Linked DNA regions of Lepisosteus oculatus. The protein of the gene in region 2 purifies or fractionates together with the protein of the main gene of each other region. This does not show direct contact. Links are inferred from orthologs where the notes say so. Each region holds a gene or a part of one and is shown on either strand. Other genes may lie near its edges. The genes, in order: stxbp4, tyrosine-protein phosphatase non-receptor type 14, wwc1 and pdlim7.

Region 1 (7,758 bases), on a different chromosome or scaffold from region 2:
AACACACTGTATACCACAGAACAAAATACTTAAACTACAATATCCATTAACCCAATTGGCAAAAGAACTTGAAACTATACTGTAGAAATTATTAATTGAAGAGAGGAACTGAACTATGAGAATTGGAGACCACTACACATGGAGGATGAGTGAGTCAGGATGTGATGAGGTTTTTTATCAGGGCGAGGGCTGGCAGGGCCTTAGTGTTGAACCATGGAGTTACCATGGTTACTCATACAGGCAGAAAGGATTGAGTTTGGAACCATGTACTGGAGGGGAAGAAAAAGTGAGCCCTCTCCCTGAAAAGAGAGTCTAGACATGCAAGGTATAATAGAGTTCTCAGTTTTGTGTGTCTTTCTTTTTTTGGTGTCATCACAGCGAAATGATTAGAGACCCACCAGGTGGACAGTAGAGGAAAAATGACTGAGAGCAGCAGAGAACTGCTTTACCAACACTATGCAGGGCAGGTGGTGGAGATGAAAACACACATTCATAGACAGTCACTAGGAGCACTAGAACCAGTACAGCCAATGTCCAAGGCTACATCCTTCATCAGAGCCACCCAGGGAGAGTGTGCCACCTTGAATGGTAGTTAGTGAGCAATTGTCCATGTCAGTCATTGTAAACACTGGCCAGATTGGTGAATAAGTGAATATCACATATATCCTGAGAGTCACAAAAGGCATGCAGTTCCAGCTGATAATAGCTCCACTGTTTTCCTAATCTCTCTGGGAGGTCTGCCTAACTGATGTTTGGCACAGTGCTACAGTATACACCATGGGGTGGACCTAGGCTCTGGGAGACCATGAAGGAGGGAACAACAAGGGATGGCCAGTCTTCAGATTATAGCAACCTTGCAGGAGCAACTAGACTATGTGCACTGGTTTACTTAGAAGCACTTGACTCCTGTAAGCATAAGGCAGATTATGACCTACATTCCAGAGCCAACAACTTTGGCCTAGTAAAGTCTGTGTGGATGTTCTGTCCCCTTGGGTAAGAAGGACCGTCTTCCAATACATGTACAATACTGGATCAATTCTCAAAGGTAGTCTGAGAACTGAGATCAGATAAGATCTATGGCGGCAGACTTAGTAGTAGCAGGCTCCAGCTATTAATACTATGGGTACCTATTAGTAATTGCTGGTTCAATATCTGAGGTATAATTGGGCCAAAGCTTATCTTGGTTTCTGTAGCTCTAAGCTGAGGAAAGAGCACAAGACTTTGCTGCCTGGACAGTCTACCAGTCCAATCACAGGGATCAACCCTCCCAGCAATGCTAGTCCTTGTTTATATAGCAGTGTGAACTGAGGCAAAGTACCATTCTCAAGGTACACTAGCAGATCAACAGTGGAATACTTTTGTCTGCCAGGCTCTACACCTAGGGAAATGGTTGATCCAATTAAGATTTAACCAAAGCACCCATTTATCCCTTCTCAACAGTCTTAAGCTACTGATGATTTAAAGCGACGTGGAAAACCTGCTGGATTCCATATGCCACGGCATAATGGTATAAATTATAGAGACATCCACTTTTTCAGGGAGTCTTTACTTTATTCGTGTATGGGGTACATAATGTAACAGACCTCTTCTTGTGTCTTCATTCCTCAGAGCCCACGTTAGGGCTGGTCAGTTACTCAATTATTTCCAAATAAGTTACTTTATAAGATACACAAACCCATACACAGAAAGGTGTGTTTATTTGTTGCCTATTATATTTCTTATATGTGACTTTGTCCTTGTTCGATACGCATACACAAACGTAGCGGGCGGAAATACGAAAACATATTGCATACCTTCCATATCTGGAAACTGGTGCTTTTTGTTCATAACATATAAGACATCTTGTTCCTGTACTGAGCTCCTTAACACGCTTTTCTGCACAGCCGTGCAGGACTGCGGTTTAGCAACAAGTTCATACATTGATAACATTTTGAACAGAAAAATAAGTCTGGAAACTATTCATCAATAAAAATAACTGTTTTGAGCAATACTCAATATGAATTATAAAAACTAAAATATTAAAGTCTGTTTATTACAACAAATTAATTGTGCACATAAGGGAAAATCAGATCATCCAATTTCAAGTGTATCCAGTAATTACGAGCAAATTCAACACCCTTAGTCATCTAAAAAGGCAGTTAATGTTAACTTGCAATATTTTGTAATAACTTCTCTTCATTTAAGCTACACAACTTAACACCTAATTTTAACATCTGTAGCGATCTTTACAAAAGTGATAAAATAGGTTCGATTACGTTTCTACAGTGTGGGCAATTATGCGCACGGTATAACTGATGTACATCCTTTAATATAATTAAAGTTGTTCTCGTAGCAGAATAGTTGTTTTATGTAAAGTAAATCAAACTACTGTTTAAACTACTACGTTCGTTTCGAGAAAAAGGACGAAACAACGATACTCATTAAATTCCTCCGAATACTCCGACAATTGTGCATTTAACAGTACTTTGAATTCAATTCAGATGCGCGATGGACAAAACCCGCAGCGTTTTTCTAGATATCCAAAAGATAAATGTGAGCTCACTTTTCAGCACTGACTACAAACAATAGTAACGGTGTTACTAACGTCTCAGATGTTACTGTTTGATACGGTCTGTTCAACAAGTTTTCAAGCTGTCCATGAATTTTAAAATACAGTAGCAATGCTGGCAACTTAGAGTTTGCAAAGAAAACACAATTGAGCTACCTTTAGTCAACCTTTCCGTTATTTTGAAATGACTTGCTATATATGCATGATAAAATAAATTCTTACCTTTTTGGTTTAATAAGTAGCGCTTTCGACTAATTTACCCATACTGCCTAGCGCTTAACATCAAACTACAAAAGCGTGTGCGCCTCGATAAATTGCTTTTGTTGTTGGTCATTATTGAAAGTTAAATTCATGTAGATAATAACTGTATTTTGCGAGCTATTTTATTATTGAGCTCCTTTATATGATAATGATTTAGATACACGTCTTCATAAAAGCTATATTTGGGGCATCTAGTATTATATGAAACTATTTCTTTACGTTTCCATTCACATTAAAAGTTTGAACAAGGTCAATCCCTATGTTAGGAGTTTCGGAACCATAGTTCCCCAGTTTTGGTGCCAGGAGGAATAGTTAAACGTGTAGGACCGTAAACCCTGTACACTGTTGAATAACCTATCTTTGTTATATTATGATATTTAGGTACATCTTGTATCTCAGGTTAGTATTTGGTTTATGCAATTTAACATTTTTGAAAACTGGGGATGTTTCCATTACGCTGAGTTTTGTGGATAAAAATATGGATTACAATTTATTGCATTGTCTGGATTGTCATTTTAACGATTGATTTGACCCTGAGAGCTTAACTAAGCTGTTAGTTTTTTACTTAGGTGTCTAATCAGGAAAATGTGGCATTAATGGTGGTTTGAATTAAATGTTGGCTTTCGTGGCTTTACAATCGGAGGTAAGGCCCCGTAATGCTGTCAATTTCATCAGGAGTATTGTTACCTGGTTTGGCCGTTTCTGTTTCTGGGACATACGAGTTACTTGACCTATTAAAAAAAGAAACGAATTGTTCTCATTTGTTTGTGAACTGAATCTTTGAATTAACGTCGAAGGAAAGAAAATGGAAGAATCGATTGGTTTACGTTATTGATTGAAAACCAAGGATTCTCTTTAATAGAAATACATGTTTTTTACAATGTATTTTTGCTCCAGGGGTGATTCGTATCAGCCTGATCACTAATCTAGTTGCATTTTAACGGAATTAACTCGTTTTTTGTTGTCGCATTCGGTATGAAAAGCTATTACTGTAGTTTTAGAATGCACTTCATGTGCAGTTTGTGGACATTGTAAAAGTGGACAAAATGTACAGTCCATTGAAATTTAAAAAGAGCAACAGTCCTAACACGCATTGCAGAAAGAAACCATATTTATAGAGAGTATCGAAAAAGGGGTAATGAAAGAACTTGTTTTAATTAAGCTTTTTAAAAAGAGTTCAGTATGAACTGAGTAGGAAAATCAGCTCAGGAATGAAGAGTGCTGAAGCAAACGGTCTAATCTTCTTAGATCAGATGGCATAATAAGGAAACATCTAATGTGATACTTTTTATTAAAAATAGAAAGGCTGAATATTTGGGGACAGTTCTAACCTGTTTGAAAGGTAGCAACTATCTTTTGATATTCATATGGATTGCAAGAAAAGTTCTGTTAAAAGGCTTGGCCTTTGCTGTATATAGGTTAGCACCCCAATTAAACTTATTTTCAATCCTGCAAGAGGCACCATATGGTAAATGTCTTAGCAAACAGGAACACAACTTTATTTAGATCTAAATAAGGTCACCATGTTTGTGTGGGTCATTAAGCTGGTCATCTACTATGGGCTTTCTAATCTTTTAATAGGGTGTTCTTGATGACCGAATGACTGGTGTTTTAGCTTGATTCATCCCTCCAACTGTATAACAGAGACCATTTGTGAGACCATTAGTAATATTATGCTGTATGCCTTTATTATGTTACGAAAATGTTTCATGCTGACTTACCTTTCTTTCATAAACCCTTAAAGGAGAGTAGGACTCAACGAACCATATAAAATGGATAATTTTGGAAGTTTATAAGTTCTCCAAATGTAATTTTATAAACCTCAAAAACTTAGTACTTACAGTCAGAACCTGTAATGAATAAAATCAGTTTTCAGAATCTCTACTTGACTGTAGGCAAAGTTTCCTGTTCATGTCTTGTTTTAATATGAATGGGTCAGTTCCATTACTAGTGCTATTGGATCACCTGTTGCTGTGTTTACCTTTTCTAACAGTTACATGATCTTTGCTATTAATATATCAATTAATCTAGCTTCCATATACCTCCTTTGAAGCATCTTAGTTCACTAGTCTTGCCGATTCTAATGTTGTATCCTATTTTGCTGTATTCCCCACCTTCAGTCATGTCAGGTACAGGTGTGTGAGTTATCTCGTTTGCAGATAAAATTACAATAAAGCATTCTGTTTTTGCAGGGAGGGTGGCTCCTAGTATTTTGACCACCCACTGTGTATGGCAGTGGAACAATGTGTTAAGACTCTTTGAGGGAAACTATACAAAATGTAAAGCTTTGGTTTTATGATATGATGCCCAGCAAAATCTCTAGCAGTTAAATTTAACCAAATTTAACTAAATTTAACAGCTCGGCTATCTTATTTGCACATTTTGGTTCACTGAAAGGATATGACTGCCTGTTGTAAAATATGCACTTGCTATGACAACAGCACTGATAGGTGGCCATGTAGTTGATTTTGTTACTTTAATTTTCGACTTGGATTCGGAAGTAAGAAAAAAAAACTGGAGATGTTTGCTGTATTGGCTCTCCTTATTGATTTTTGTTTTGTAGGTAGGCAATCTGGGACCAAGGGCTGCTCGAGAGAGATAGCAGCGTACAAACCTCTCAACATGCTTGTGCACCTTCTCTTCCGCAAGTCCTTCTGCTGGTCAGAGAACTTGGCAGCTTTAACGTCAAAGTGTCGCCTTTATCACAAAACCTTTCAGAATCAGGTGGCTTCAAGGTGTCAGCATGGCTCTCCAAACCACACCCCTTCTCAGAAAACAGGCCTCCAGCACTCTGGAACCCAGGTTCGAGGAATGAAGGCCCATAGAAATCCGTTTACCAAGGACCAGCAGGAAGAATGGAGGAAAAGAAACAAGACCATCCTGACTTACATTGTAGCAGCTGGAGTGGGCATGATTGGCATGTCTTATGCTGCAGTTCCTCTCTACAGACTGTACTGCCAGGCAAGCAGAGAACATTGTGCAGTTTGAGTCATGCATCTGCACTATGCAATGTGATGTCTATTTTTAGATCTTTCCATCGTAAGCCTCTTGTGTTTATCATTCCTCTGATTTTTGTTCCTAAAGGACTTTATGGAATTGTTGGCTCTAAAAATGTTTATTGCTGCACATACAGTAAACTGTAGTATTCCCCTTTGTAGCGTAAGGATTTATAGGATGAGAGTTATACCAAAGGATATCTGATCCAACTTGAGACCATGCAGCATGTAGACATTCTTAGATTATGACAGGCTTGAAAGTCTTGGTATAGGATACAAATTGTTGCAATAATGGTTCATAAGAGATTGTGTATTAATTACTTTGTTCCACTAACATATTATCTTATGGTCATGGTTCTCTTTTGATTATGATGGAGAGGCAAATTACCTGCTGATAGCATTAAAGGCACTTGCCAGAAAAGACCCCTAAAGTTGAATGTACAACATCGTCATACCAATTTTGGGCGTCTTATTAGTTGTGTAAATTGAATTTACAATAGTAAGCTGATGTTCTGTCATGAAATTAGTTTAATAAGCTATTTGGTCAATATAAGTCATGTCTAAATAACAGCATTTTCTGCACAACAGACAATGTGCCATATTGAACAAAAAAAAATATGGGAAATTGAAGATCATAGACCTGTGCACTTGGATAAATTCAAACGAATAGGCTATATCATGGGTACACAAGACCTGTTCATGATGATTTTAAGGTCTAGGCTTTCTTTCCTCCTTGTCTCTTACTGACCTAATTTAGCTGCTATTTTATTGTAATTGGACCAATTTTACACTTTTCAAAGGACTTCAGTTATGGATGATTTGAAGAAACCTAGAAAATATGCAGGATTAATGTTTTTAAGAACTGCAGCTGGGTACTTTTGAGCTGCAGTCTAATTGCATACAATTTGGCTCCTATAATCTTTATAAACCTTGTAAATGATTTCTGTGCCGTTACACAAACCATTGTAAAAAATAAGTTTAAATCAGGTCTGTTAATCCTGGTCTTGACTGTATCTGCAAGGTTTCTAGGTATCTTCAAAGCAGTAGCACCTGCAGAGCTGGGTAGGACTGCTCAATTAGTTACCAGTAACTGTCTGATTTAGCTTATTAAGACCTCAGTTGGATTGAAAGCCTGCAGCCTAACTGGACCTCCAAGACCAATATTTCACTACACTTTGATGAATCAAAGATGTATTTAACTGTTTACAACAGGTGTATTTATAAATATCTATGCAAATATGAGCTATATTCATCTTGATCATCTAAAAATTTGTATACCGCAATATTTCTGAAGGAACAATTACTTAAATCATTTTAACGAAATGCTTGAGTCAGTCACATCTCCCTCCTTTCTCAACATTCCTTTCAAAGCATACAGGGGAAATGAGGTTGTATTGATCATGTGAGTGAGTGCAAACCTTTTTTGCAGGCTTCAGGTCTTGGAGGGACAGCAGTGGCAGGTCATGATACAGAACACGTTGCCACAATGAAGCCTGTAAGAGAGAGGGTCATCAAAGTCACTTTCAATGCAGATGTGCACGCCAGCTTGCAGTGGAACTTCCGCCCTCAACAAACAGAGATCTATGTAAGAATTAGACCTGGTCGGTGTAGTAGAAGAAGCAAACTCTTGTCTATGGGAGGAGAAACTGACAGTTTAAAGGGGAACTGCAACACTATTTTTATGTTTTGGGGTTTGAGAGAATCAGCATTGATGAGTGTATTTCATACCAAAAATGCGGACATTAACTTGTAAAACCTCCACTTTACATCACAAAAAAGACAATTTCCAAGTATGTGCAGTGCCATGTTGTGCGATTCAGAACGAGACGTGTAAACCTCTGGTGACGTGTTGTGGCCCTATTACATTGTAAACAAGCAGCCTTGTGAATATATCTCTTTTAGTCCAATACAAATATTGCCCTTGACTTTGAGACAGTTTACCGATAAATGGAA
Region 2 (6,951 bases):
AGCATGGAATAAACCTACAATATTACTTGTTCCTTTGCAGCCTACGCATGCTGACGCAGCTACCCACCTGAACTATAAGTCAAAGGAGGTATTACACATAAAGACTGACCTCAGTAATTTTTCTGGTCAATTCTGGTCACCTTTTCTCTTTAAGATGACATTTACCAGGTTAAAGCTTGCACCGATTTATTTTAAATAATAAATGACAATGCAAATATTTAATCCAAATGGGAAATAGTTCGGCATGTATTTCAGTCCATAATGAAATATCCCATCAAAACATAATCATTGTAGAATTTAAAACTGTCCAAAAAAACATAGTGCAACAAAAAAAGGAAAAAGAAACAGGAGACTAAGGAAAAAATACTTAAGACTCAAGGCCAACACCTGAAGCTCATACAACAGGATGTACAAAAGAAGGAGAAGCAGCATGTTAAACTCATTCATCAAACTGTAATTCTGCAGACTGATGCAAGGTATGTTACATGGCAAAGCTCTATAAAGGAACAATAACTTGAGGCCTTAAACAGAGTAAATGACTTAAAATGATCAACACAAAATTCACATTGATTTACCTAGCTTATCTCACTTGCCTAATAAAATCTAAGTGAGATAAATCTTTTGATCACACAAGCCTAAATTAAAGATTTTCAGTATAACAGAACGCAATAAGAAGAAAGAGAGATGACAAGGTGAATCTTTTATGTCTGGCTGAACAATGAAACAAAACTGAAACACACAGTCGGGCAGACTACAATTTCAGATCGTAAAGAACAAATAGATTTTAAAATGTATGATATTGACTTCACCCAACCTAGATCACAGTCAAAGCAGTCGAGAACTACACAGGCTGAGAGATGGACATGGGCAAGCGAAATGTTGGAAACAGGGGGGCCCCTTTAAATGTTCTTCAGTCAATGCTGCCATTTCAAACATCAAAAGCATTTGAGAAGCAGAGTGCTGGCGGTTGAAAAAAGGAAAGGATGGACATGTAAATAAAACAACCCATTATAATTAAATTGTCAGAGTATTTTATAATCAGGGATTGGTTCTCTGTCCAGGAATACCAGATTGGTTAGCAAATCACTTTTTTTCTCTGCAGGAAAAGTCCAGACCTTTGGCATAGTAGTGAAAACAGGTAAGTTTAGGAAGCATAAATATTTTTTACTAAGTTGTTACACAAACATTTTAACCGTTTTCCAACTAGGCACACTTGGTTTCTGCTATTCACTAAAGATATATCAGAAACATTCAAATAACTAGTAGAAGTGAAGATTCAGCCCAACCCTGAAAACTACATCTCAAAGTTTCTTTGGGGTATGGTTTTGTTTCTGCTGTGATATTTTGCCTTCTCCTAAAGTTTCAGAACTTATTCTGCATAACTCTATAATGTTATTAACACAATGAACTTCAGGTACGTTTGTGACATATGCAACTGCTGCAAGCAGTACAGAGAATCAAAAAACACAAGCTATCCTCTTCATAACCTTTGACGTCACACTACCTTGTGACTAACAGAACCAGACAACAGTACAGGTACCTTCTATTTGAAATTGTATTTAATTAACTGATTTAGGTTCAACTGACTATTGTGTCTTAAACGTAAGTATTATTTGGTTGACGCTTTGGGGAATATTATTGGAGCAATCTGAGCGAAATGCTTTGCTCAAGGGTACAACAGCATCCCACCTGGTATCTGAACCCACAAACATCAAGTATAGAACCCAAAACGCTATTTCACACCGCTCATTAAACTTATTTTGCCTAGATTTAAAATGTTAATTTCCTTTGATTACGGTATGCAGCCTTAAAGGAAACGATTCAAACATCTAAACCAAGAAAAACTTGGAAGATGTTATTAGGTGCTTTAAAATGCTGCTTTATAGAATGGTTTGACGTTAAATCTTATCTCATCTTTAAAGTATAGTTAACTTGCATAAAGTAACAGCCGTTAGCAACTGCTAACAGTAGGCTACAAACTGCAGTCTAGGTATTCTGCAAGGAGAGGGAATATAACTAACAATTACCATTTTTCCGTCTAACGCCAATGAAAGGTTTGGGACGGTGTTTTTTTAATACAACACGTGTAATGAGGCTAAGCTTTGAATTTATAAAAATGTTCTGCCTTAGGTATTAAGGGAAATGGTTTATTACACGTTACTCCTCGTGTAAGGAAGCACAGGTCGTATTTTCCTTGGTATTTTGTTAAAAAAAGGCCCTATAATGTCGACGCTATAAAAATAGAAACAGAGAAAACTGTTCGTAAGATGCAACGTTTTCAATATTTTCTATTCAACGTTGTTACTTTTTCTGGCGATATGCTATGGAAAACGCGATAAACTACGAAACATTGTTTTAACGTGTTGGGCTTTTCCCTTGAAAATTAAGCAGTAGCAAAAACCGGAAAATCTTAATTGAGTGTACTCGTTCTTCGCCGAGGAAAAAAAAGTGTTCTGCAGTTAGATGTTTATTAGAAAGTAACAAAAGACCAAAAAATAAAAACAATAACAAATACCCACCGGGACTCGTTACATGCCTTCTTTGTATGTTTCCCTTAAGCAGGAATCCCACTATATCCTGTATATCCAAATCTTGAAGTTTGAAACTGGTTCCACAATCCCAAAAAAGATTCCTTTACTGTGCATAGATCCTTCTTTCCGAAAAATAAAGAAAAGTCGTTTTAAAACTTTTAAATGTGGATAATTTTCCACACCAAGACTCAATACGTTCTTTCTAGCCTTCAAATCTACTTTTACTCCAAGGTTAAAAATCCAAAGTTTTCTTTCCGTACCAAAAAATAATAATAATAAAACGCGCGTATGCCTAAAACTCGCCCAGTAATCCGCAGTTTGCGATCTCCTTCCCCGTGAATCTGAAAATTAGAATATGATAATTTTAAACCACGAAATCACCCAAGAGACGCGAGAAGCGTATAGGTTTAGATAGAAGTGTGAGCCGTCCCTTCTGACATCAGAATTGTGGAATCCCAGGAATGTGGTGCAAACGAAAAAGTGGGAGCTCTCTTAATGGTTTACGAGGGAGACAATACAATGCAAAGAACAATCTACAGGGCCAGATCCGAGATTCTTCAAAAGCGATTTTTCTACGCGAGCGCCTGAAGCAAAAAGTCATCTCTATTTAAGTTGTTAAGAGTGTTACATAGGTATCAAGCTTTTTTCTCAATATTTTCCCACTTTATTAGGCTACCTATAGCAGTAGCACTTACACTCCAACAAAAACCGGAGCTTTTATGCACCACTGCGTCGGGCTAAACGAAATTTAGACTAGGAGACTAATGTGGCGTTTCAATTATGTTGTTAAATTCGAACTTTTCAGTATTAGGAAATAATATTCCTATCACATTTTTATATTATTTTCTTATAACCAGTTTATTATCACTGCCAAATTCACAAGCTCCTCTCTTGGCTTCTAAGGTATTTTACTAGCTTTTCGTTGTGTATCTGAATCAATTTCTTCTTGAAACTTAAAAGGATTATTACTGCATAGCCAGCCCATATTGCTAAAGTAATGTTGAATATTTCAGCATGAATGATGGAGTATTGCTGATTACCCTCAAAGCTTTACAAGTGCCAAACCTACGTCAAATTTCAAATGTTTCAAAATGAATTTTACTGAGGCTCCTTTCCAGTACCTGTTTGCGACAATCAACAGTATCTTGTACCTCTGATGTACTCTGTAAAGCTTTAACAGTATGTGTCTTGGCTTGTCCAGCCATTAAGTACTACGACAGCTTGCTCCTACAACTGATGACTGGGGCCTTTTGTTGTTGTTTTTTTTGCAAAGCCAAAGATTGAATGAAGAAACAGTTCTGAACCTGTAACACTGCATAAAAAATAAGGCAGTTTTTACACTATAATTTTGTTAGGCCTTCGAGTGGAGCACAAGAAAGCACAAGCTTTCCATACTATGTAAAAAATCCAGGCATGAGAAAAACATCAGAGATGAATGGCTGAGTATAGCCCAAAGAAATCTGACTTTGGACTGGGACTGGGACTTTTTCAGGTTACAGAGCTCCCCCACAGCTGAAAAGTTGAACAGTATATCTTCATTTTCTTTACTTTTCAGCCTTGAATTAACCTCTATTTTTTTCCATAACAATATTAATACAATGTTATTAAATGAGTGTTTTTTGAGGAGCTCAAATAAACAACAGGATATATATATATACGCTGTTAGGCACACACTGTAGATGGATTTCAGTTTGGAGTGTCTAAAATATTACTTGTGTTTTTGCTTTTTTCATAGCAGCTTAGGATTCATAACAACATAACGGGCCCACAGTAGCTCAGCCCTGTTCAACTCCATCTGATGAGTTTTCTAATTCTTTTGACCCATGTGTCTGTTTTAAGGCCTTCACCAGTTTACCAACAACCCAGTTGATTTAAAATGCAAAAACAGACAACTGATATAAGTGAAGCAAAATAACCCATTAAGGTACCATTCTCAATCCTAAGCACAACAAAATCATTCTCGTGACTGTGAATGGACATAAGAAAACTGATGTGACGTGACCCCTGTAGCATATTGCCGGGTTTTGCCGGGTCCCCTGTTATTCCAAAAATCGCCTACCCATTATTGTAAGTGATATATGATTGTGATTGTTTTGTAAAGAATCCCAGTGTATTTCCCAATTCGAAATTGCCAGCCAAAGCAGGACACGTTTTTTAAATTTTATTTTGTGCAGTACTCAAGTTGCACTTTCTACACTGGTTTTATTGTCCTTTCCTTTAATAAAATTGAATTGAACTCGGTCTTTTTTGTAACTTGTATCTACTCCTTTTGTACATGCACATAGGTTGAAAAAACAAGTCACCCTGGATATAATAATAGTACTTATACTAATAATAATACTACTAGTAATAATAAAAAACTGTCCAGAAGCCTCTTTAACAATTTAAACTGGCAGTATAAAGTCAGTCTTGCATTCCAGAAGCTGGAATCCTAGCTTAGTCTTCCTATTAATTAGGAGGAAGAACAGTTTCAGCACACAAAGTCTTCAGTAATTCTGTAGCTGTCAGGAATTTATTGAATACTAACTAATCAAATCTTGATTGCAGTGGTATAACCAAGGCACAAACAGGCACATACAGTATTATCTGCAACCAGGACCTGCAGGGCGCAGTCAAACAATTCAAGCAGCAAAAGGTTATGAATGTTATACCTTATTATACAATAAACAATTTGCAAGAAGTTCAAAACTTGTTGAATTTAACTATTAGTGATTATAAGATTATGTTTTTAAAGTTTCAGGCTGCTATACAGTACATGAACGAACACTAAAGGCTCCATTCATTTTTCCATTTAAACGGAACACCTTAGAGATGTGAAACTAAGATGATGAAATGTACATTATTTTTTTCTTTGTGCAATTTGTACAAGAGTCTGCTACTTTTAAAACTCAAAACTAAAACTATTTCTAGCCAATGGCATTATTCACATCCATTGTACACTACTAGCAACTGTTTCATTAAAAACCCTAAGATGTGTGGGGTCAAAGTAACGCATAGGGGTTAAGAAGCATAAAATATTTCTAGAAATCAATCATAGACACCTCTCACTGTCATAGCTACCACAGAAGACCACCTGGAGGTCCGGTGATTGAATTTACTTCTATAGGACAGGATAGGTTGGCATTATGTGTTGGACTTGAGGTTTTGTTTATCAATTGACAAAACAGAGTCCTTAGGTGTCTAGAGTCACTAAAATCAGCTTATGTACTCAACTTGTATAGGCCTGATCAAATATATATTTATTTGGTCAGTTTTGTTGTTTGTTTATTGTTTAGTGGTCAGATAAAAAGACGTATTTATATGTTGTAAATAATCTTGGATAAACACAGGATTTCAAAACGTCTCAACTTTGAGGGATAACTGGCCTTAATCTTTGATGGCTGTTCATTGTTCTAGTCTTTAGAAACAATTTTATGCTTTTATGTAGATAGGCCTTTGAGGTATTTGATGTTTAATTTTAAAAGTGAGTCCCTTCACTTTTAAATGCAGCATTTCCCTTATAATTTGCTTTCAACTTTTTCTGAGATTTGTTTAGGCAAAAGAAAACGTTGTAAAATGTCGCAAAGATAGCTGAACCCCGCCATCTTGTGGTCTTCTTAAGATATATCTATGCGCAAGTTATGTAATGGCCCGGTTCATTTTATTTCAATGTTTCTCCTAATATGGACGAACAATATTCACGCTTCAGACAGTAGTGTCATAAAATTTGAAAATGCAATTAGTGTTTAATATGAAGAAATTCATACATACAACACAATTCAGTTATTTTTTGTAATCCATGGTTTCGTTGTATTCGTCTTCAGTCAAATATCCATTATGTGGTGCAAGAAGCTTTAACACTACCGTATGTTTTCGTTTATGACTTCGCTCACAAAGGAAACGTTATTTCCAAGTTCAATACAAAAGCCGTGTACCCCCAATACTTTTAATTTATTCTATATTTTCTTTATCTCTCTATTACAGAATGTGAATTATTTTCAAATACAGCGTTAGAAATAGCGTTCAGGAGCTGTCGAGAAATAATTCTTCTCATAGAATCTATACTCCAACAACAAAGACAGTATAAACAGAGATGAGAACCTTTGGGTTTGTGGCCAGTGATCACAAACGTTATCAACAGCTCTTTATTTAATATCCAGAGTGAACTTCTAAAGTATTGTCTTTAGTTTCAGGGAAGCTGACTGAAAGAATAAGGGTGTTTGAGACCCGTATTAGCTGCATTTTTAAGAGCCTTCGAGCAGCCCTCTCTGGCAAAATCTATTTAGTGCAGTGGGTAATGTTTTGGTAACGAACAAATGTATAAGGAAAATGAGAGTTGGGGCCCTAGGAGGAGTGGAGAACATCACCGGGCTGGAAATACTGTAAACACAGGTATATTGTATACGCACTCATGTGTGCGTGTGTAGGTCCTTTACTTAAT
Region 3 (6,943 bases), on a different chromosome or scaffold from region 2:
CAGCAGGACCTGGCCCACTAGTACGTCCTGCGCTTCAGCTCTGCTCATGGGGAGTGTCTGGTAATGGCGGTTAATGGCTATGTACCTAAGCACTTAATTTCAGCTCAGCGCAACCCTGTCTTCCGTCCGCCCCCCCTTCTCTGTGAAATGCATTCTAGGAATGCGGCTCTGGGTGCGTGTTTACGCTTCTGCCCTTCCCGTATCCTAGAGACCAGGCTGACCTCTTGCATTCCACCGGGCAATAAAACCCAGCCTCGCATCGGCGTCCGGCACTCTCAGAATTTCAAACGTGGCTTGAGTAGCAATAAAAGCACAAGCGCACCTCTTTGGATTAAGGTGTTAATTCAGACCACTTCTGTGGGGGATCTTGTAGTACGCCAGTGAAACCTGGAATGTGTTAGTAATCTTAGAAGAATTACGGATTTAAAATATTGTGTTGTTGTTGTTAAAGACAATGTTTCAAACTGAATACATCCCATGTGCTTTTAGTTGTCCCTTTGTATTTTTAAAACTTATCTTACGTTTACTTGCTACAAAAACACAGCACTAAAGTATGTTTTTTATTTTCAGACCTGGCAGGTAATACGTGACGTGTAGCTCTCGAGGTGCCGGGGCCCGAGGACCCGGATGCGCCACCCCTCGTGCAGGGCAACAATCATAAAACAGAAAACAACGGTTGTGGACGAGACCGAAATAAACCACCAACTAGAGCTAAAATAATTATCTTACAGTGTGTCTCATGAGATGAAGTTCTAACTTTCAGCACGTCTCTTGCCAGGCTTTCTGGAGCACAATACATTCTAGAAAATGTCAAGTCGGGACCGTAAACATCAGTTCATTAACTTTGAATTATTTGGCTTTTTAAATTAAAAAAAACAATATAAAGTTGATTATATCGTCCGCTTCATCAATTGATTTCATTAGTTCAGCTCATGAAGGCCCCTCCAAAATACTCCAAATGACAAAATGTCTGTTATTCGTGACTTCTTTACAAATGATCGGCATTTTTTTAAAATTTTGGAACATATCTACCACAGAGCTAATGGCAAACCTTTGGATTAAACGATAACAAAGTCACCTTAAATCATCCCCACTCGAAAGCATTTGCTCATTCAAAGCTTCTATAATTCCCTTAATTGCTTGTCCTGATACTGGAGCCAACGTTAGGATTTTAATCATTTTAAAACATGACTTTACGTTTCAAACTCCCCTCCACTAATGCAATAGCGCCGTGCCATCCTCATTTTCACTCTAGGATGGAAAGCAAGGACTTTTTTTTTCCGCCCCGACTGCACCTGCTTTCCAATGCTCACGTTTCTACAAACGAGAAAGACGATACTGCACGTCCGAGTCATCCTCGCCGTGACTCTCGGAACTCTGCCTCGTTCGTCAGGGAGAAACGACTCGACGGTTCAGTACCGAGCTTTTTCTGCAACTTTTTTTTTTGCATACGAGCGTTATCTGCGTTTCATGAAACACTTGATCTGCTCTTGAGAACATAAATAATAAAAATAATAAAAACTGGCGTGCGGCGGGTCAGGTATAAAATCACCAGAGAGAGGAGAAAGCAGAAAGGGGTGGGTATAGACAAGGGGAGACCCACAGACGGATTTGAACGTCGGGAACCCTAGCTAGCCCTCTAAAATCCCAAATCCTTTTCCCTCGCCGTGAGGCGGCTAGCGCAGGATCCCCGGCGCCAAAGCCACTGAACTTTCTAAGCGGAGCGGCGGCTTATGAGTAGCAGGTAATGTAGCCGCGCACAGGCAGAAGAAAGGAAACTTTGTCTCCCGGGTTTCCTTACACGCAGGTGCTGTGGATCCCCCCCTCCTGCCCGATCTCTACCTGTCTCTGGGGTCGATCCAGCTCGTCGTTTTATTGATGTGGTCGATGTAATAAACCCTCCCGTCAAAATCCCGGGCTTCTTCCCAACCCTGCGGCAATGGTAACTCCTTCCTCGGCATGTCAGGCGAGTCTCCATGTAATTTTGTTCTGGATGCCTTTTTTTTGTGGGTTTTTTTTTTTTTGCGTGTGTGTGTAAAAAACAAGATGCCGTTAAAAGGTACACCTGAGAGGAATCGACACAGCACACGGTCCAGACAGCAATGTGAACGGCCCCCCTCCCGATGGAACAGGTGAAGCAAGCGACCTGTCAACACTTTTTAAAAAAAAAGTTAGGGTTCCAGCAAGTAATAATTCGTATTGATGCGCCTTTTCCTTTCTTTTCGTTAATTTCACGAACGATCTCTCCCCCCTTCCCCCCCGCTATGAGTTCTCCAAACGCAGGTAGAAAATAACGAAAAAAAAGCGACAGCTAACCCAACAGCAGGGGAGAAAGGAAAAAAAATCCAGATGATTATCTTGTGCCCCCCAACACGGCGGGGGTTCGGGTGGGTGGGAGAGGCGGGGGACGAGGGGGGGGTCTTCCTCCGCTCCCGATTCCCGTCAACAATTCAAAACTTTGTCGGGCGGATTATCCAGCATCGCCTCGGCCGGGAGTATTTCGTCCGACGGCACTCTCCCCTCGGTGCGGGACCCACGTTTTACTCCATGCGCCTCGGCTATCCCGGCGCGGACAACAGCCTCCCCCGCCGGAGGGCTCACTGGTCACGGCACAGCCGCCAGTTGCAGCTCCCAGTCCCCCAGCGCAGCTCCCAGTCCCCCGGCGCTCGCCGCCACTCCATCGCTGCCCGGTGCGACCTTCCGCGGCTTGGCTTCGATGTTGTCCAAAACCTGCCTTTAGTTTGCCGTGGCCACCATATTCCTCCTCCTCCTCCTCCTCTCCACGCCGCAAATTCAGAGCGCTTTCCAGATGGGCATCGCCCGGCTTTCCTGCCCGTCTGTGCCTCGTCCAACAGCTCCACTCTTTCGCCGACAACGCGCTTTCGTCAGTTAGCTTTATTGTTGATTTCTGTTTTTAAAAAATACACACGCACACGGGGGGGGGGGGAAATGTTTTTCTTAAAGGGACAGTGTCCCTGCCTCCCTGTGTACTGGTTCTCACTGTCGTGATGCTGCGGGTAGGGTTACGTCATCCAGGTGATTACCGTAATAACACTAATAGATGTAGCTTGCAATGTGCGCCGTAATCATGGAAAGATAAGGGTACGCTATAACAGCTGCTGGGGATGCCGATCATCGGGACCCTTTTTTTTTTTGGTGAGGTAATAATAAAGCATGGAAAAATGTCTCATTATTGTAAAATGTTTGTGAGCCCATTGGCATCTTATTGTTTATAACGCCTTTATAATCTCTCTGTTCTGCAGACGCGGCGATGATTAAACCTGGAATATAATCAGGGTGCAAACGGGTATACCGACGAAAAGCTTAAGGTGTTAGTCCAACCGTCCGAAGAACTCTCTGCTGAAAAATTAATAATGCCACGAAATCGACGGTCGTCGCTTAATCGTGACTTTCCGTGGTCCCTTTAAGGGCGTGTAATCGTGTCATCTCAAACAGTCCAAGGAAGGGAATTTGAGAAATAATGTGTAGTTGGCATAAGTGTTTTTTTTTCCCCATTTAATCTGATTACACTTTTATGCAAAGTGATTTACTTCTAGACGTATATATTGTACGTGCAAAATGGGGATAATTGGGCGAAATGTCTAGCTAGAGGACACAACAACAACAACTACAGCGCCCTGTCCGGCACCTGATACCATAACATCGCGCAGACCCGATCACTAGGCCTCGCGTCCGAATGTGAAAGTAATGTTTGAGCTGAAATTCGCATCAACGAATAAACCGCGGAGCGTATGTACAGATCTGTGACCGTGAGAGGGGTGCAAAAGAGGAAGAGGAGAGGTTAGTTTCAGACTGAACAGCAGAAAGCAGAAGCGCAATGTCGCTGCGCCTCCTTCAGCTGCGTGTCTACAATTTGCGACCCATTGCGAAATTCATGCGCTGACATCAATACGCCCGAAGTTACAATATTGCATGGTGAATAAATATGTACACACCTGCGGATCACAAAATACAAAGTAACTTTGTTGCCACAAACACTTATCAACCTTTAAAAAGCTCAATTCCCAAAACACTTCGTGTTCAAACGTCGATGTTGGTTACATTTTAATTTCATCTGAACAGTACAGCGATAACCTATTATAAAAACAACGACTTCTTAACGATACATTAACAAAAACACGGGTTTCTTGAAATCAGCACACACATCGTATTGATTTTGTCGGAAGAGAAATTGATTCGTTTTTTTTTTCATTTGTGGATTTTCTCAGACATCTGTTGCTGTGGTGGAACTATCCGTGTCTGTCAATGGATATGCGGTAGCTGTGCTCTAACTGTGAATCTGCTGGTTTACAATATAGGACCTGACGCCCACGCTCCAGTTGTATTTGCCAGGAGTTCAGTAAAGACAGCCGAATAATAACTGACACATAAGAGTTGTTTAACATAGAACTTTTACCACACTTTATTAATGAGTAACCACAGCCCTGTCCTGGACAGCATTTACTAGATCTAATGAATGAGTGACCTATTGGAGTAAGCGGTTATTGAAAATGGATTGACAGAATGGGTACTTTTTTTTCCGGACACAGGGTAACGCAGCACTCGTTTAGAAAACGATTTAAGATTCCCACAATAACGGAGCATGAATACATGACAAATATTTGCATTGTGAGGCTTTACCATGTCACCACAGCTGTATTGCGCTCAGCTGTTAATGCGAGCTCTCAGGTGGCTGTATTGCGCAGAGGCTCCTCAAAGAAAGATGTTCGGCATGCAAGGTCGTGGGTTCAAATCCTTTGAAGTAAGGAGCTGTGACCTGCTTGTTCAAGTCCATCCCATCCGTTTAACTGGTGTCAGTGTAAACCTCTCACAGCGAAAGCGTTAATCAGGTTAATTAATAATAATTAAACAGCACCATCTATCGGCTGTACCTACTTCCTGAAAGCAATCTTTGCCTTGGGGGGGACTCGAAAGATTTCATTCGTTATAGTAATGATGATAATGAAGAATAATTCCAATTACTGTACCTATGAACATCCGTCCTTTTAATAGAAATTCGCCTTTTTTCCGAAATTGGCCCCGAAGTCATAGCGACTCGTCGTTGCAGGGATGCGGTGAGCGGTTTTTATATGGTCTTATAAAGGTGTACAGAACGGCAGAACGGAACGAGTTCGTAGAAAACGATATTGTTGTCTCTTGGTGTGATCGGCTGCTTGATTCCCCTTTGCTTCGCCCTAGTTAGTAACACCCAATAACAGGTTATATAAAGCGATTGCACTGACCACTGTGTGTCTTCTCTGCTGCCCCCCTGTTCGCTAATGTGCAGGGGAAATAAGTGACATCGATAAATTATTGAGCAGTATTGATATATGCCTGGTGCCGGCGCGCTGGTGTTTAGTGTTGGAATTATTTGCAACCAAAGAGTCTGTAGAGTCTTGGTCAGGGTGTAGAGATGGTCGACTCCCAACACGTTTTTCCACACCAACGTCGCCTGGAGAAAAGGTCGCGCCAGCGTTGAAGGTCCTCGGCTGAGATCTCAGACCGGACTGGCCGGCCGGCCGATGTGAGAGGACTTGTTTCAGCTTTAACCGTCTGGCAGCCGTCCTCAATTAAATAAAAAAAAACTAAAACAAATCGTTTCAGAAATAGTTCTTCACCCTTAAGCTAAAAATTAAAAATAGCCCACGATTTTGCCTTGCTAGTTACCGAAACGCAAAACGTCGTATGTCTGCGAGTATTTCCTGAAGCACTGCCTTTGCACAGTGAAACGCTGGGAGGGAGAACTCAAAATTAGGAAGAGACTCGCATTCAAGTGTCTAACATTCATTCATGCGGCAAACCTGAAACCCTAAGATACCCGAACCCAGGAGATCCGAAACCACCGGTTAATAAGAGGGTAGGTCCTTAAGATGCGCTACACTCACTCTGGATTCAGGAGGACCACGCTGGACTAACAAGTTTTTTTTTATTATTTTTATTCCTGTGCGAAACTTCAGCCAGTTTGCAGGCAGGTCACTCCCTTCCAAGTGTCGTCAGCGTGTGTCGCTCGCCTCTGAGCGGCGATAGGACGGGCGTGTGCTGGGCGAGCAGTTTTTTTATCTCGGTCACGTGTCTCGGCTGATGTGCTGATTTTTCTTCTTTCTCTCTCTTTTTTTTTTAAAACCCGGTCACCCAGCCTGCTGGCCTGTCGGCTCATGCCGCGCGTCGCGCCGCGGAGACATGGTGCTGCTCAGGCGCATCTCCATCGCCCTGACGGCCGCGGTGGCGGCTCTGGGCTCCGCGCTGTTCATCGCCTGGAACTATTTCTACCGCAGGCGCGTCTGGTCCCCGGAGATGGACTACTACAGGATCCCAGAGGTGAGCCTTGCGAAAAGGGAAAAGGCGTCGCATCCCGTCCTCTTCCTACCCCCCGTGGATCTGCTGGGGTCTGGGGTCTGCAGGTCCCCGCCCGCCCGGCTGCTTGGGCGAACTCGTAGCCCTAAGCGTTCGTTTTGTAAAGGATCTAGATAACGTCGTGACGTGTCGTTTCAGTTGTGATCTCCCGTCTGTTCTGCCGCGACAGCCAGCTGGTGCATGTGCTGTCACCAGAGAGAGGCAGGTGCGTGCACAGACGTGGGGTAGCAAAACACATTGGGGTACACATTGGTGTCGTTTTAAGGCGCGTTGTTCAAACCAGATCCCTAAATGTCTCGCTTGTGCGAAAGCCTTGTTTTGTCCTCGACCCAGGACGCCCCGTTTATTGCTCTTCTGCACGCTTGCGTGCGTGCGTGTGTGTGCATTGCTCTCGCGTGGTGCAAAGGTTTTACTTCTTAAGACGCCACTAAGGGAATTCACTTCCTGATTTCGGCGCTGGTCACAAGCAGGCTGCCAGGAAAAGACCGGAGAAGGGAAAAGGAAACGATGTGTCCTGGTCAGGCGATGGGCAGGACACGGGTCTGCTCTCTGCCCTCTGCAAAGACAGCACGGCTGGAAAGGGGTTTGC
Region 4 (6,986 bases), on a different chromosome or scaffold from region 2:
TAGATTTTCTGTCCTGGTTTTCTTACCTGGCTGATTGTGTTCTGAAGCTGAACCCAGAATGTGCTTACAAAGTTTTCTTACAGGTCCCAGACAATCTCCGACTAAGTATTTAGGAAATTAATATATAAATTGATTTCATTAGCATGTGCCTCCTTAAAACAGCTCCTATTATCCCTACAAATTCAACTGATATACAGCCGAACGTTCAAGAGGTTGTGCTTGAGATTTGCAACGTTCCTTGAAAAACTAGGACTGCTCTCTGACCCCGTTTTCTTCAATTACTTGATCCTGCAAAATGTACATATAAATTTGCATTTGAAACTTCACACAGATGTGATACTACACAAGAAAAAGACTCAAGTTAGCCTTTGTGTCGATCCTGATCTTCATTAGAATACGTTGGCAAAGCCCAAATCAGCAGACTGCAGCAAGTTCAATTCACAGGGGACAGGAGTTAGCATTGACGTACAGTAGAATACTTTCAAAAAGCAGACAAGCCACAAAGTTCTGGATATAACGAGCCCTTTTAGAATATCATACAAACATCCCCATATTTAAGGAATTACGGTAGTCTGATCAAATAAAGGCGAGTTTCAATATTTCAGCATCAGACGGGTAGAACAAGGGTCTTAACTGATCAATGTTATGCAGATGGAAGAACAATACCCTGCAACATTCCTAGCATGAGTGTCAAATAACACAGTCCAATGTACACAATTCCTTTCAAATATAAATGGCTAATTCAACAGTAGTATATATATATATCACATGGCAAAACCCTCTTTCAACAAAGGCTTCATAAAGGTCAGACAAAAAAAAAAAAGACATCCAAAGGATTTAGCACAATTACATCTTATATTTTTATAAGCAGTAAGCCGTTATATGAAAAGCAATTTTCGTCTTCTCACTACAGAATGGTGCAACTAATGCCAAGAGTACCACCAGCTGAACACCAACATGCACACACACCCACAACACAGTACATGGTCCAGATCAAAAACTCATTGGAACTGCCCTCTACACGAGAGAAATTCTGTAGCTGAGCCTTAAAACCTACAATACTCACCGCAACTCCAGCTGACTTTTCTGACACACTTCTGCAGTCACTATGCTAGTGTGTTAAACCATGAAAACCTTTCCTCATATGTGTCAAACTCAGAAAACTGTGAGCGAGGGTAGGTCAGGAGAGTGAAGGTTTGTAAAATACACTATTGGCATGTAGCATGGTAGTGTTTCTTGACCATGTTACAGAGATCTGATTAGCTGTCGGGCTCAGGGAAACGCATTGATTTTCACTTAACCTCAGTAATGTAGAACCAAAAATGTGAGAAGAGCTTTGACCACTGAGGACAAGGCATTCAGCGATGTTTACGAGGTAGAAGGGACCTCCCATATATCCAAGAATAAATTCTACATTCCTACATTTTTAGGATATAATAAAAAAAAACCTCTGGTCTGAAAATTACAAATGAAAACTGTACAGGCAGCTGTATGGAGTAGAGGTTGATGCTCTGTGTTTACAGCAATATAATGTATATGGATTTCAAGGCTAGGTGAGGCACTACTGTACTTATAAAGTAAACATCAGCAAAGTACACCCCTCAAATTACACCAGTAAAATACCTCACTGTATAAATGGGTACGTTAAAAAACTGTGAGGCGGATAAATGACCAAAATCAGGTTAGCATACCTGCATATACCAAGATCTATTTCAGAACAGAATGCCATTCACAGAATTCGCAATATCTTTCCAAGATAAAGCATTACACAAAATAACGCTGATCTATACAATACAGAAAGAGATTCTCTTTTCAGAGGGCACTAACGCTAAAAAAACACCTGCCCTGTCCTAAGGTGATAATGCAATTCCAAGTTCGTTAGTGAAGTTTTACATTGCTCGGTTCGGACAACAATGAAAGTGTTGTCACGTTTCATATATTGAATCTGTAGGACTTTAGATCTTTATTTTTGATCGACGTCACCATAAAAACACTAATGCACTTTTTTTGGTAGGGGGGTGACAATTATATACAGTACCATCTATTCCTTTTCATACATCTTAACCACAGCAATATAGATACTAAACAAAACCACATCACTTACAGCCCCCCCCAAAAAAAGACATTAACAAATAATATCGGTGACCTGACGAGTGTTTGATCATTTCAGGTTAAATGTTGACCCAAGCAAATAGCTAAGCAATTCTTGAAACGATAGAGGAGATCTCGATTAATACATAACGTTTGCTTGCTGGCATGCAATCAGAAATTGACACTTTTCTTGTCACATTAAAACTATTTGAATAATATTCAAAATGATATCAGTGCGTTTATTTTGGGACAATGTGTGCACCAACTTAAAAAAAACGCAGCATAACTTAACATCCACGAACATGAAATATCCGCTCTTTTAGCACTTGAAAAAAATGCTAAGTGCACGATCTTGATTCGCCTTTACACGAACGGATTCACAGCCAGCTTACAAAAGGAAACTCTCAAGAAGCTTTCGTGATCACAAATCTCGACCCACCCAAATTATCCACGCAGCGTTGCTCAGACTTGCAAAGATCGCGTTTGATTACTTAGGTCTAAACGCAAAAAAACCGCAGATAACGTCCTTATGAAAACACATCTCGTCTGTGCAGAAGGATTCAATCTCTGAGCACCCTGCCCTATAAAATTTAAAAGAACAATTTACAAAAAGTTGAATTAGGAAAAGAGTGGACCACTCCCTCTTCTCCGCCTCCAAACGCCAACGCCAAACAAAACTTCCATTAAAAAACTTTTACTGTATAGATATTACCAGAGCCATGTAAACGTTTTTTATGAGAACAGAACACAAATATTGTGTAACTCGCAAAAGCAATCGTGTTATATGGCAGTTACCTCCGGAGCCTCTTTCTGGCTGGCGGACATCGTTAACGATCTTTTTTTTTTATCTTTGCACTTTAAAAAAGTTAATTACTATGTGCTAAGTTTTCCTTGTAAGCCAGTCCAACTGTATCCACGAGCAGCCGTAAACTTGCCTTCTGTTTCCTTTTATAGACAAGGAAAAACCTACAGCCCGGGTGACGTCATTGGGAGCGCTGCCACGAATTCTCCGCGCTCCATCTACAGGTACAAGCTGGCATGGGACTGCGATGCGCTGCGCGGTGCTGCGCTCTCCCATCTCGCCGCTCAACACACACGTCTGACCTGCAGCCAGCTCGTCTTTACAACTAAGCACCTAGATCGTTTTGCTCGACGAATCCCAGCTGCGGAATAAAAGTGGTGTATAATTTGCAGCGCTCGACTTTTCCATGACCCCCCATGCTAATCATCGACTTGAGAGTGCTGGTTTTATGATGTCCCTGAACCCAGCTGAAATGTCATGTTGGCATTTTATTTTAGCTTTCGGGATCCCAGTTGATTTCTGTAGTGTTAGCAAATGTTTGTTTTGGGTTTTTTGCTAACAATACAGAACGTTTTTACATTTACAATTTACAGTAAATTTAAAATTCTTTGAATGTCTTCAAACCCAAACCACGTTGACCCACGTTTATTCTGTACGAACCCGAATGCTCTTGTTTACTTTTCTCTTTTACTTTTTATTGTGCTTTTCTTTATCACTATGTACAGCACCCTGGGGTTTGGAAAGGCGCTATATAAATAAATGATGTATTACTGTTAGTCTTGATCTTCCATCATTTCTGTATAATAACATGACACCCTAACCAATTCAACTCCACTGCTGTTTGGCAAGAGCAGCGTTGACCACAATACTTCAGTCACTGCAATACAAAAGACAATACGGTGCTCTGGAATCAGTCCAGAAAAGAGCAACCACGCACATTCCTGTGGTTCAGGGAACTGTCCCTCCCTGACAGGCTGAAGGAACTGAATCTTCTTAGTCTTGAACAGAGAAGAAGGAACAATGTGATTCACAAATTTTGAGCCCCCAAAGACCACGACAAAGCCAACCCAACAGACGTCTTCAGAAGCAAGAGGGGAGTATTTGAATATAAGGACACCGGTAGGAATTATTGGAAAGTTCATGTCACTGAAGCCGACGAAGACCCTGGCTTATTTCACAAAGCAGTCGGATGTGATCCTCCAACCAGCAGCCAAGCAAGTTAGACTGGTTGAATGGCCGCCTTTCTTTTCCTTTGTTATGTTCTTGTGATACAATACCAGTGTGCGCAGGGAGAAGCTAGTTACAGTATGAATCCACAACCTTAATCACTATCCTCTGCCACTAGTTCATTATGTAACTTCTTTTAAAGGTGCTTATGTATTTTATGCATACAGAATCATTCCTATAAAAATTCCGAAGCGTGCTTTTTTTAGATACAGCTTTCCTCATCACTTGCCAGAAAGCCCTCCCAGGTAACAAACATTTGTCAGTTATCCGACAGTGAACAGAAGACTACTTTGGGTGAAATGCAGCTCTATGTTTTCTTTTGCTGCCTTGAGTTAAACTCCAGTGAAGTCTGTTTTTTTTTTGTTCTTAAAAAATGTACCTAGAAAATAAAATTGAGCATCCATTTTTTGCCAGATTATTTCCTCCTCATGTTCATCAACTAAAATACCTAATATTATCAGAGTTCAAATCAATCTATAGTGTACTGTATTTACTAACACCACTGCCTCTTTGATATAAAATAAATTAATGAGCTGTTTGCTACAACAAAACATCAAACACATTTCAGCTTCACTAATGAAAAAGCAACAGAAACAATCAGATTCTTCCTTGGGCCAAAAACATGTTAAAATCTGGAACGAATCGGTTCCGAACGAACGAACCGCAGAAAATAAAACCCAAGAAAAATCAAGTCACACTTTGGAATTCCCAGATTTATTTCAAATCAAGATTTTGAAATGTTTCTTTGAACCAGGAATTGCTTGATCTTTGTTTATGTGCTGAACACAGGTCTTTGATCTGAAGAATGCTTTATCAGACAGGAAAACTATTCAATACAGGTCTAGCGGAGTTCTTTTTCTGTGCGCTAGAAAGTGCCCATATAAGGAGATCACAGATCTAAAAAGCTGCAGGAATGAATCTACCTAATTATCACTAACCTGAAGCATGGAACAAGCCGGCTCTCTGAAAAGGAAATGTTTATGTAGATTTAAGCATGGCTGCCAAGAAAAGACAAACAATGTAGAATTTAAAAAAAATCTCAGGAATCACTACACTATATAGTTCTCCACTTGGTGCGTCCAAAGGAACAATTGTTATTCCATGCTAGAAACGTAGTGTTGTAGGAAAACTGTTTGCATAATTCTTAATATTTAGGGCAGCATTGTGGCATAGTGTTTGTTATTGCTGGCTTTTCACACTAGAGTCCTGTGTTCAATTCCAGACCTGGGGTGCTATCTGTGTGGAGTTTGTATGTTCCCCCTCCGGGTGCTGCAGTCTTCTCCCACAATCCAAACACATACTGGTAGATTCATTGACTTCTGGGAAATTTAGCCATAGGTGTGATTCCGCACTGCCTTTTGCCTTTGCACTGAAACTGAAAATGCTGCCACAGCTGAATTTTGCACACAGCTGCTATCTAAACGCTGGTTGAAATTATTGCTGCTGTGCTGTTGCTTTCTCCAAGAATTGTGACGTCATCCTTTTTGTCAATTTTGGGGATAAATGGTAACATCCTTTGATGCCTTTCATGGAAGCAAGTACAAATCCTGGTTATGGACAATTACTGTTCTTTATGACCCAGTGGAGGTATGCTGCATAAAAAAACAACAGTGTCGTGAACAACAGAGCTAAGTGCTCCAGGCTCAGGTCTAGGGACCAAAGCACTCTGTGAGAGACCTGAACATTTCCGAGCTCCTTAGAAGGCACTCCAACAGATCCAGCTGTAGGGTGCAGTCAATTCTTCCATCCCTGGTTAACTATAGGGTCCCAATGCCCTCCTGCACACCCACGATCAAGATGATGAGAGTAGACGAGAGAGCTGTTAGCTTGATGCGCTTTACAGAAGCGACTTAACCTGCGAATGATAGGTTTAAATAAACAGGGCTCCGAGTAACCTATGCAACTGAACTGCATTCTAGATTATAGCGGCTGCCGTGCAACAAAAATTAACCATTGTTCAACTTTCTACTTTTTTTAGAATCAAAACATTAAAATGTGCAGCAACGGAGAGGATTCCCAGTGTTCTGAAAAAATTATAACGAATGGCATCTTTATTTTGTATAAGTTGTATTCAATTAGTTTCAACAATCTTCACCCCAAGCTAGTTCCTGTAGGTATAGGGCAATAAACTGTTCAAAAAGAAAACCGATCATTTCAACTGGGAGTACACTTGAACTTAAGGTCGTTCACTATTTCTGAATTCTAAATGCACTCACAATTTGAAACGCAGTGTTGTTGAATTTTTAGCATCTTATATAAAACCCATTCTAACATGTTAAATCAATAGAGACAAAAATTCAGCGGTTTCATCATGGCCAATAGACAAATCAAACCTTGGCTTCGCTGTTTGACATGACTAGAGACATCTAGAACATCTGCTTATTGTTTCCTATTCATAGCTCAGCGGGTACCTTTAGGATACGGTATTTTATTTCTGTAACAGCGGGCTAAACATAAGACATATCTCGTGTATGCCTTCATGTACTTGTTAAAAGAAAGAAATGAAAAGTATTTAATGTAGATTTATGTACATGACTATTTTCAGAACAACTTAATTCAGTACAAAAACGCCCAGAGGCTCTGGGCTCTATATGACTGTAACAAAATCAAGATCAATAGTTTGCGGAACTTCATTTTTTTGTACATTTTGTATTGTGCTGTCTCCATCTCCTGGCTACCGGGAGTAATGCAGAAGAGGAGATCACTTTACCATCGCCAGAACTAAAAACATCGGGTGTTTGAAAGAATGTCACCCTTAGATTATTTCCGTGTATTGGAATATTACTTTCTGTATTCGATACAAAATATACAAAATTAATCTCCAGCCCCTCCAGTTATTGAAGTTAAAAGAGGAGGCGTGAGATGG

Evidence for each region.
Region 1: the proteins of tyrosine-protein phosphatase non-receptor type 14 (region 2) and stxbp4 purify together in Homo sapiens (affinity purification with mass spectrometry; 3 studies listed by BioGRID and IntAct, counting the BioPlex papers as one, with this or other methods). This does not show direct contact. The link is inferred for Lepisosteus oculatus from reciprocal best matches to the Homo sapiens genes PTPN14 and STXBP4.
Region 3: the proteins of tyrosine-protein phosphatase non-receptor type 14 (region 2) and wwc1 purify together in Homo sapiens (affinity purification with mass spectrometry; 7 studies listed by BioGRID and IntAct, counting the BioPlex papers as one, with this or other methods). This does not show direct contact. The link is inferred for Lepisosteus oculatus from reciprocal best matches to the Homo sapiens genes PTPN14 and WWC1.
Region 4: the proteins of tyrosine-protein phosphatase non-receptor type 14 (region 2) and pdlim7 purify together in Homo sapiens (affinity purification with mass spectrometry; 3 studies listed by BioGRID and IntAct, counting the BioPlex papers as one, with this or other methods). This does not show direct contact. The link is inferred for Lepisosteus oculatus from reciprocal best matches to the Homo sapiens genes PTPN14 and PDLIM7.

Annotation. Positions count from the first base shown.
Region 1 is NC_090704.1:38,283,964-38,291,721, reverse strand, and holds the start of stxbp4 (syntaxin-binding protein 4), read right to left. Parts: upstream 3,020-7,758; 5' UTR 2,771-3,019; intron 1-2,770. Other genes in the region: cox11 (cytochrome c oxidase assembly protein COX11, mitochondrial), read left to right, coding at 5,432-5,770, 7,235-7,390. UniProt on the Homo sapiens protein: Plays a role in the translocation of transport vesicles from the cytoplasm to the plasma membrane. Inhibits the translocation of SLC2A4 from intracellular vesicles to the plasma membrane by STX4A binding and preventing the interaction between STX4A and VAMP2.
Region 2 is NC_090697.1:21,522,776-21,529,726, reverse strand, and holds the start of tyrosine-protein phosphatase non-receptor type 14, read right to left. Parts: upstream 3,017-6,951; 5' UTR 2,520-3,016; intron 1-2,519. UniProt on the Homo sapiens protein: Protein tyrosine phosphatase which may play a role in the regulation of lymphangiogenesis, cell-cell adhesion, cell-matrix adhesion, cell migration, cell growth and also regulates TGF-beta gene expression, thereby modulating epithelial-mesenchymal transition.
Region 3 is NC_090706.1:40,160,360-40,167,302, reverse strand, and holds the start of wwc1 (protein KIBRA), read right to left. Parts: upstream 3,009-6,943; 5' UTR 1,962-3,008; coding exon 1,843-1,961; intron 1,745-1,842; exon of another isoform or gene 1,726-1,744; intron 1-1,725. Other genes in the region: arl10 (ADP-ribosylation factor-like 10), read left to right, coding at 6,181-6,318. UniProt on the Homo sapiens protein: Regulator of the Hippo signaling pathway, also known as the Salvador-Warts-Hippo (SWH) pathway.
Region 4 is NC_090706.1:37,404,952-37,411,937, reverse strand, and holds the start of pdlim7 (PDZ and LIM domain protein 7), read right to left. Parts: upstream 3,021-6,986; 5' UTR 2,917-3,020; coding exon 2,887-2,916; intron 1-2,886. UniProt on the Homo sapiens protein: May function as a scaffold on which the coordinated assembly of proteins can occur. May play a role as an adapter that, via its PDZ domain, localizes LIM-binding proteins to actin filaments of both skeletal muscle and nonmuscle tissues.